Coturnix japonica: one gene and its partner. The protein of the gene in region 1 interacts with the protein of each later gene in a biochemical or structural test. Links are inferred from orthologs where the notes say so. Each region holds a gene or a part of one and is shown on either strand. Other genes may lie near its edges.

Region 1 (3,783 bases):
CGAGAGGCAGAATATGAACCAGAGACAGTCTATGAAGTGGCAGGGGCAGGAGAGCATTACCAAGCAGGTAAAGTATTCGTATCTGATGTGAAACCTTTGATGAAGAAAACTCTATTCTTTGGGGAGTGACCCGATGGATAGTTGTGCTAGTATCACACGGTCCTCGTTTTCTGAAGTCTTTGTCTGCTGAGGCTTTGAAGATCCCCCACCAACAAACATCAGTTAGGAGATGAAGATAAAACTAATAAGCTGGTGGCACTAAAAGAATACAGGCCCTTTGAATTCCTGTTTTTTTCACCTCTTCTGGTTAGTAAAATTATATTTGCTCTGAAAATTCAGTACACATCGCTTCTTTAAACACACCCCCAAACATGCACGTGTAACAGTTTGTATTAAATACTCTTACATGCTGATCTTGTGCTCAGTTGTTGGTCTGTCACATTCTTAAGTGCTATAAAGCTAGTAATAATTTTTATTTTTTATACTGTATGAAATGCCTAGGTGAGAATGGTTCGTGTCAGGATTTAATTGTATGTAGTTTAGGAAAAAATAATCCATCTCAGAAGGTACATCAATTTGTTCCCTTCTTTCTGTGTGTCATTAGAATTAAAATGACAAGAGGAATACCACAGGAAAAAGCTCAGGATGATAGGTAGTATGCTTTATGCTTTTAATTATTCTTCTTTCTCTCTCCCTCAGAAGAAAATACTTACGACGAATATGAAAATGAACTTGGAATTACAGCCATAGCCCTTTACGATTATCAGGCTGGTAAGCACAGCTCTTGTTCATCTTGTGAAAACTCCTATTTTGGAAAGCTGAGTCAAGATCTTTTTCTTTTCCTACCCTTTTGTAGTCTCTTGTATCAGTGTATGAAGATATGAAGCATTAAGAACGTTTAATAAGAAAGAGGACATTTATTGATTTAACAGCAACATTGAGATGTTTCTGAAAACTGCCATCCACCGCTTCTAGAAATTACAGAGATTTAAAAAAAAATCTTTTTGACTAAGTGTTAACACTCATATTATAGCCTTGGTGTGAGTAGTTTAGATTTCCTCTAGTTAAATCTGGGGAGAGCTCAAGAAAGAGTGGTTTTCAGGGTGTTACGCAGCAATTGCTGCTCTGAGTTAGAAGTGTACCTAAAGTGAAGCAGGCGGGAGTCATCAGTGGCGTCAGCACTGTGGATGAGAAAGCAGCTGTCTGTGCTGCTTGTCTTTGCCCGGTTCCCTGTTTCACAGCCCTGATGGGAGGCAGGGTGTTGGGTGTTCTTGGCATCTTTAGTGGGCTGTAAATGAGAGTATAGTGAGACCGGTCCTGTGCGAACACTGAGCTTTCTTCTGCTCTCTCTCCAGCGGGTGATGATGAGATCTCCTTTGATCCAGATGACATCATCACGAACATAGAGATGATAGATGATGGCTGGTGGAGGGGCGTCTGCAAAGGCCGATACGGGTTGTTCCCAGCGAATTATGTGGAGCTGAGACAATAGAGACTGTTGTCTGCTGGTTATGCCTTAATTCCTCGGTCAATAAATCTGACTTAGTACACTACAAATCATGATGCTTTTCTGAGAATGGAGGGGTATATACATATTGCTTTTATATTTAATACTTTGCCGATTGCTTTTTAAAATGTTTATGCCACAGAAGTTGCTAATATATTGTAACTACTCTGTTCTTCACTAAGGCTCTTAAAATGATTTTCATGCATTTGGAAACATTCTCTGCCAAATTAGCGATTGTCATAAAAAGCCTTTCCGAGGACAATTAGCTGTCTGTCATAATATTGCATGTTTTACTCATAAGTGAGCAGATTTACCTAGTGTTTAAGTCTAGTTAGTCTTCCACTAAGTGTTTTCAGCTCGGAAAATCATGGCCGTGCAGGTTAGTTGCATTTCCACTAAGAAAATGGGGCGGGCAGGACTGGGAAGGGGCATAATTTCTTCCTTTTGTTTTCTCGATAGTATGTGGAAAAGTGAAGAGGATGCTTGAAAGTTACAGCTAATGGCAGTTAATTGAGTACTCTCCGATATTTACTGAATATTAATGTTATGAAGGAAACAGTCCGGTTACTTTTTCCTTCTCTTTTAAAGTGAAGTTTCTAGTATATTGCATTGTTTGTTTGTTTTTTCTCTCATCTCGCTCCCTCTCTTCATGTTATTTCAGAGGAGGACAGCAAAACACTCTAACGCTGACTGTCCTCAATTTATTTGCTTTCTGTTTCAATTCCTCTCCCCACTTTCACGGGAAAACTTGAAAGAATTACTGTACGAGTGTTGAGTTACTGAGTGAAATTCCTACTTGCCGAAAGGGAAACCAGCATCCAAATCTGTGTGACTGCATACAAGGGATAGTCTCATTTCTTTAAAGGGGAGGAAAAAAGGCAAGACGGAATCGCGGTCATTTTGTGTGCAGTGCATCCTTTGTTCATACAATGAAACGGGCGGGCCTGCTGTGCAGTAATAACATTTTACGTAACCGTATTTGAGTTGAAGATTATTAATATAAATAATTTGTTTTGAAACCCTTATAAATAATCTCAGTTTTTAAACCACGCAAGAGACGTCTGTACTTTTTGTATGCTCAGCAGAAACTGCCGGTAGCGTTTGACTAAACAATGGGTTTAAACCTGTTCTTTGCCAAAACTAAAACCAAACTTTCTGTCATTCTAGAAAGCTGATTTCTCTGCAGGTTTAGGGTCCCTACCAAAGATAGTAAACTGCATCTAGTAGTGCACATGTTACATGTATGTACCGTCTGTTTCCACCTTCTGATCAAGTGAGAAAAGCAGAACTGATACGGTAGCTAAGAAAGAACGCAAAGAGGTTTTTTAAACTGTAACTTTGGACCAATGGAATATAGGAGACCTGTATAAAATGGTAAAATATATAATGTATCTTGGAAGGCATTGTGTTGAACCGATTCTTGGATGGTTGGGACAATCCTTAATGAATGTCATGTGTGCATCATGATTATATATATATTTTTCCTTTCCATGGTCTCATTTCTCTGTTGTATTTGCATTACTAGGGTTGGGTTTTATATGCAATTTATTTTATCCAATTTTGCATAGAACACCACATAGGGGAGATATGATTTTTGTAAATTAAATCTTCAATAAACTTTTTGAACCATTTGCATGTAATATTTTTGTATTTTTAAGTCCCTTTGTTAGTCCGTTACAGGTAGTTCATCCCATCATCGATCTGCATCTGGGACCATCGGATGCTTCCTATGGAGAGCTGCTGCGTGGTGCTTGGTACTGTAGTGAAGGGCAGCTATGTTCTTCTAGGCTGCCACTGCCTTCCGGGTAATTCTTTTCCTCAGAAACACAGTAGCTTTGTCATTTATTTTTATTCCATAAAACCATGACACTCACAGCAGGGAGATGGGGGTTTTGTAGTCAGTAGAGAGATGAGGGTTTGCCTGCTTGGCTCTTCCAACCCGTCTCAAAGTATATGTAGGTAGCAACATTATGACTGCACTGTTACAACTATGAGATGTGATGCATTCAAGGCCTTGAGGCTTTAAGATCACTCTTTCTCATTGATTGTCATTGCCCAAGCTAGCTGAAATACTTCTGGTGAAACACACCTCAGACTGGCTGAATGAAAATCATTCAGATCATCAGAGCGGCTGGCGCAGCCCTCTTTCCCTTTAATTGATGTGAGGAGAAAACGAGCCCTGTTTATTTCTGCTAATGGCTGAGCCTTGAACCTATTTGTGCCTTAATGTGATGTGGTTGTCGCTTCTCATCCTGCTCAGGTTTTGAGTAATGGTA
Region 2 (3,824 bases), on another chromosome or scaffold:
CTCCCCTGTTGATGGAAACTTCCTCTGAACAGTTACTAACTAAAAGTGCTTGAAATTCTCTTGTGGTAACTTACAGCACGGAAAACTGATTTTGTAATGTGTGTATACAATAGCTTTCAAACAATAACAAAGACTGCAGAAGCATAGCTTTTGTCTTCTGATGCTTTTTAAGCATATCCAATATAAAGACTCTTTTTGCTGCTTCATCTTGAACAGGACTCAGCTTTTAGCCTACAACCACAATTGTGGTGTGTTTTGTTTAAGGTGCAGCAAGATTTTTATATTGTGTCTAGAGTCCTAACTCCATACCTAGAGCTGAGTAACATACCTAGATAAACATCCAGCAATGGAAATGGTGACCAGAAGCACAGAAGAATGCTTCAAGAGTCATTTAATATTTGAAATAGCTCTGCTCTTACCTGAACAGCAATATATAGTCCTGGAACATTGAAAGACTCAAACATGATTTCAGCAGTATATTCTCTATTTTCTGGAGTATTTAATGGAGGTTCAGTCTATGAAATAAAGAAAAACATTTGACATGCATTCAGATCAAACATTTAAACTTCTCTCAAAAATCACCTAGAGCTAAATTTTGAAAGATGACTCATTCAAGAACAGCATGTAAAAATAATCGAGTGCAAAGGGGGTTATTAAAGGCAAATGTTGTAATGAAGAAAATCAAGGAACACCCATGGCACGAACAGAATTACTGCAAGTCACACTGCAAAAGCACAATGCAAACAGAAAGAGCAGAAATGAGAAACAGAGTAATTACTGTTTAAGAATTTACATCAGTGGTCCTATCTATCCCTTGGTCAGCTTATTATAACGCATGTTTTCACAAAGAATCAAAGACCTTGCATTTTACATGTTTAGGTTTAAGTATGCAAAGTACAGATACTAAAGAAAATCAGAAATTCACTGAAGAAAAAAGCTACTTTTCTTCAAGAGGCAATGATTATAAAACTAAAGTTTATATCAGCCGTTGTAGAAATGTGTTTAACAGAGCAACAATGTGCTTAACAGCACACAATGATATAACTATAAATTTTGTATGAGTGCCATGCAAACAAGCAACCCTCTCCTCTAAAAGAGCATTTTGAATAGTGCCAGAGAATATCTGAGCAAAAGCATCTATCTTTTGTTGCATCAACCATGTAAGGGTAAAGACAGGAGGGAGTCAGACTCTTCATAAAGGTGGTACATCAAGAGGTCATGGAAACCAACAGCAACATGGGAAACTCTAATTACTTATTAGGAGGGAAAAAAAGGCAGTGTGAGGGTTGGTGAAGTAGTGGGAGACGAGCCCACATGTTATGGCACCTCAATGCCTGGAGATACTCAAAGCTTGGATGAAGGGCCCTGAGCAATTAGATCAAAGGGTGCAGTTGTATTAGTTTATATAACAAGAACAACCAACGCACTCAATTCCAAACTTGTGATCTAAAATTCAAACTTAAAAATACTGTTATTTCAATGGCTTTAAATGAAATGCTAAGGAACAGGAGAGACTTCAGAACATCTGACCTCAGTTCAGGCCTGACATGTCCACATATCACAATCAATCCTTCTGAACTTAATAAAGAAAGGAGACAAAATGTCACCCTAGATACACTAACCAGGTGGCAGTACTATAAAAAACAAAATTATTGCAATGACATGAAGTCAAAACATAGAGGTACCCAAATGCAAGCACCACTGCTGAGTTCAGTGGATAAAGAATAAAAGAGGGAGAAGACAGAGGTGCATTGGTGTGAAAATTAAGGAAGGAAAGAAAGCTTGCAGTTCAGACTCAATTTCAGCACTTTCAGAAAGCTGAAGAAATGTGAATATGATAAGCCAAGCGCCAGGGAAGTTTCATGTAATTTATATTTCCTTTATTTTTCAAGGTAAGCACATCCATATTTGAGAATTATTCCACAAATCAGCACAAAGTTCTTGTCATATACTATTTCACAGACACGACATAATTTTACCTACCAAAAGAAAATAATGGTCCTCGGGTTCTGCCCTTAAATACTTAAAGATTACTTGCTCCATAAACCTTTCCATCAGGTCCCAGTCTTCAACTATACCATGGCGAATGGGCCACTGTTACAGAACAATACCAAAATGTAACTGGAAACAAACTTAAAAACAATATTTTCAATTGCAATACAGGAACTTTATCAACATCTAAAAACCTTGCATTAGGTTGTCTCTATCCCAACCTGACATCTATTTGAAATTCTGATCACGGAGAAAACAACATATTAAGTGTTTCTCAGTGCAACAAAATGGTGGTACCGGGAAAAGTAATATGAAGATAAACCTTAGGATCCCCTTAGACCAGTATCCTGATTCTGATGTGGCTGATAGAACATCTCAAGGAGCAAGAAAGCATCTTCTATCTCCTCCCAACACTCTCTCGGCCACCCTTCATTTCAAAAGAAACACGCTGATATGAAATATTGTGTCCTCCCCACCCCCATCTTCCAATTCCCAGAGACTCCTGAAGGCCAGCAAAACTGACTTAATATCAAACGTTTACAATAGTTTCTAAGAAAATAAGATTACAGTTCAAAAAGCATTTACAAGCTTTGTACTGTATGCTTGATGATTTCTAACAGTATTGGAAAATCTTAGTGTCTCTCAGTACCTTGGTTGCGTAAGTTGGTTTTTCTATTGCTTCATCTCCAATAAAGAAGTCTAAATCATCAACGCCTTTCAAAACCCTTCGTTGTGCTTGATCAACCACTTTTGCTGATTCTTTGATAGCAATACCTTTAACAAAGAGAACAAATGATATTTTAGATTATACATCCAGCACTGAGAAAAACAGGAACCTTAATATTGTGAAATAGGAAAATACTGCAATTATATTCATCCTTTTGTTCTGGCACAAGCACAGAAAAGCCAATACACTAACAATTAGTACTATAAAACTCTTTTGCTTCAAGGAATAACTGGCAAAATTTAAGAGACAGCATGTTGGTAATTTATCCTTCCATAAAAATTGCTCATTATGAAGAACAGAGAAAAAAAAAAAAGAAAAAAAAAAAAGGAGAAATACTGCTAAGGCTAAAAATGGGACTCAGGGAAGATGGATCAGCGATGAGATACCGCAAGAACACAGATGTTCTTTTCTCTCCTCTTTTACATCAGCTCCCAGACTGACCGGGTCACAGTGCCGGCAAAACCTACTGTATTTTTTCCAAGTCTTAAAATACCAGTGGGAAATTTGCAGAAATAAGAACCAAGCATTAATATCCGCTCCTATTACTTAGAAGTTGTCATGTGAAAGCTCTCTCAAAGGCAGAATTATTTCAATCCTCACCTTCACCCAAGTGTTGCTTGACCAGAACCAAGCCAAGCTCAGAGCCTGGGGTCACACAGAGCTACAGGATTTGGAAACATGTAGCACATGAGGCTAATGCACCCCAGTGCACTGGGAGGCCACAATCTTCTCCCTTTTCCTCCCTTCTGTGCAGCAACAGAAGGGCTGTGCAGCCAGTGAAAATGAAGTGTTGCAAAAAACTGAACAAATATAACAAAAAGCATTATTTTGAGCTCATCGGGAGGAAAACTGCATCATATCACAACTTCTGTAGCAGCCTACAAGAGAGGAGAGAGGAAGTGGGAGCCAAAAAGCAGAGGGGTAGGTAAGAAGAAGCTGAAGTTGTGCAGAAGATGTTGCAAGGCCAGTTTGCCGCAAGCAAAAAACAGCTTCTTGCCAAATATTTTTCAGGGCTTGCAGACTCGGGGACAGCTTTGCTGTCCAGATGTATGTTATCTTCATGTAGTTTCAAGTAAGTCATCAGCTCTTGCCACAACATTCTAAA

Evidence for each region.
Region 2: the proteins of CTTN (region 1) and ACTR3 form a complex in vitro, tested with the Homo sapiens proteins (3 studies listed by BioGRID). The link is inferred for Coturnix japonica from reciprocal best matches to the Homo sapiens genes CTTN and ACTR3.

Annotation. Positions count from the first base shown.
Region 1 is NC_029520.1:6,901,116-6,904,898, reverse strand, and holds the end of CTTN (src substrate cortactin), read left to right. Parts: coding exon 1-67; intron 68-699; coding exon 700-771; intron 772-1,355; coding exon 1,356-1,492; 3' UTR 1,493-3,147; downstream 3,148-3,783.
Region 2 is NC_029522.1:26,867,153-26,870,976, forward strand, and holds part of ACTR3 (actin-related protein 3), read right to left. Parts: intron 2,767-3,824; coding exon 2,642-2,766; intron 2,095-2,641; coding exon 1,984-2,094; intron 516-1,983; coding exon 420-515; intron 1-419. UniProt on the Homo sapiens protein: ATP-binding component of the Arp2/3 complex, a multiprotein complex that mediates actin polymerization upon stimulation by nucleation-promoting factor (NPF).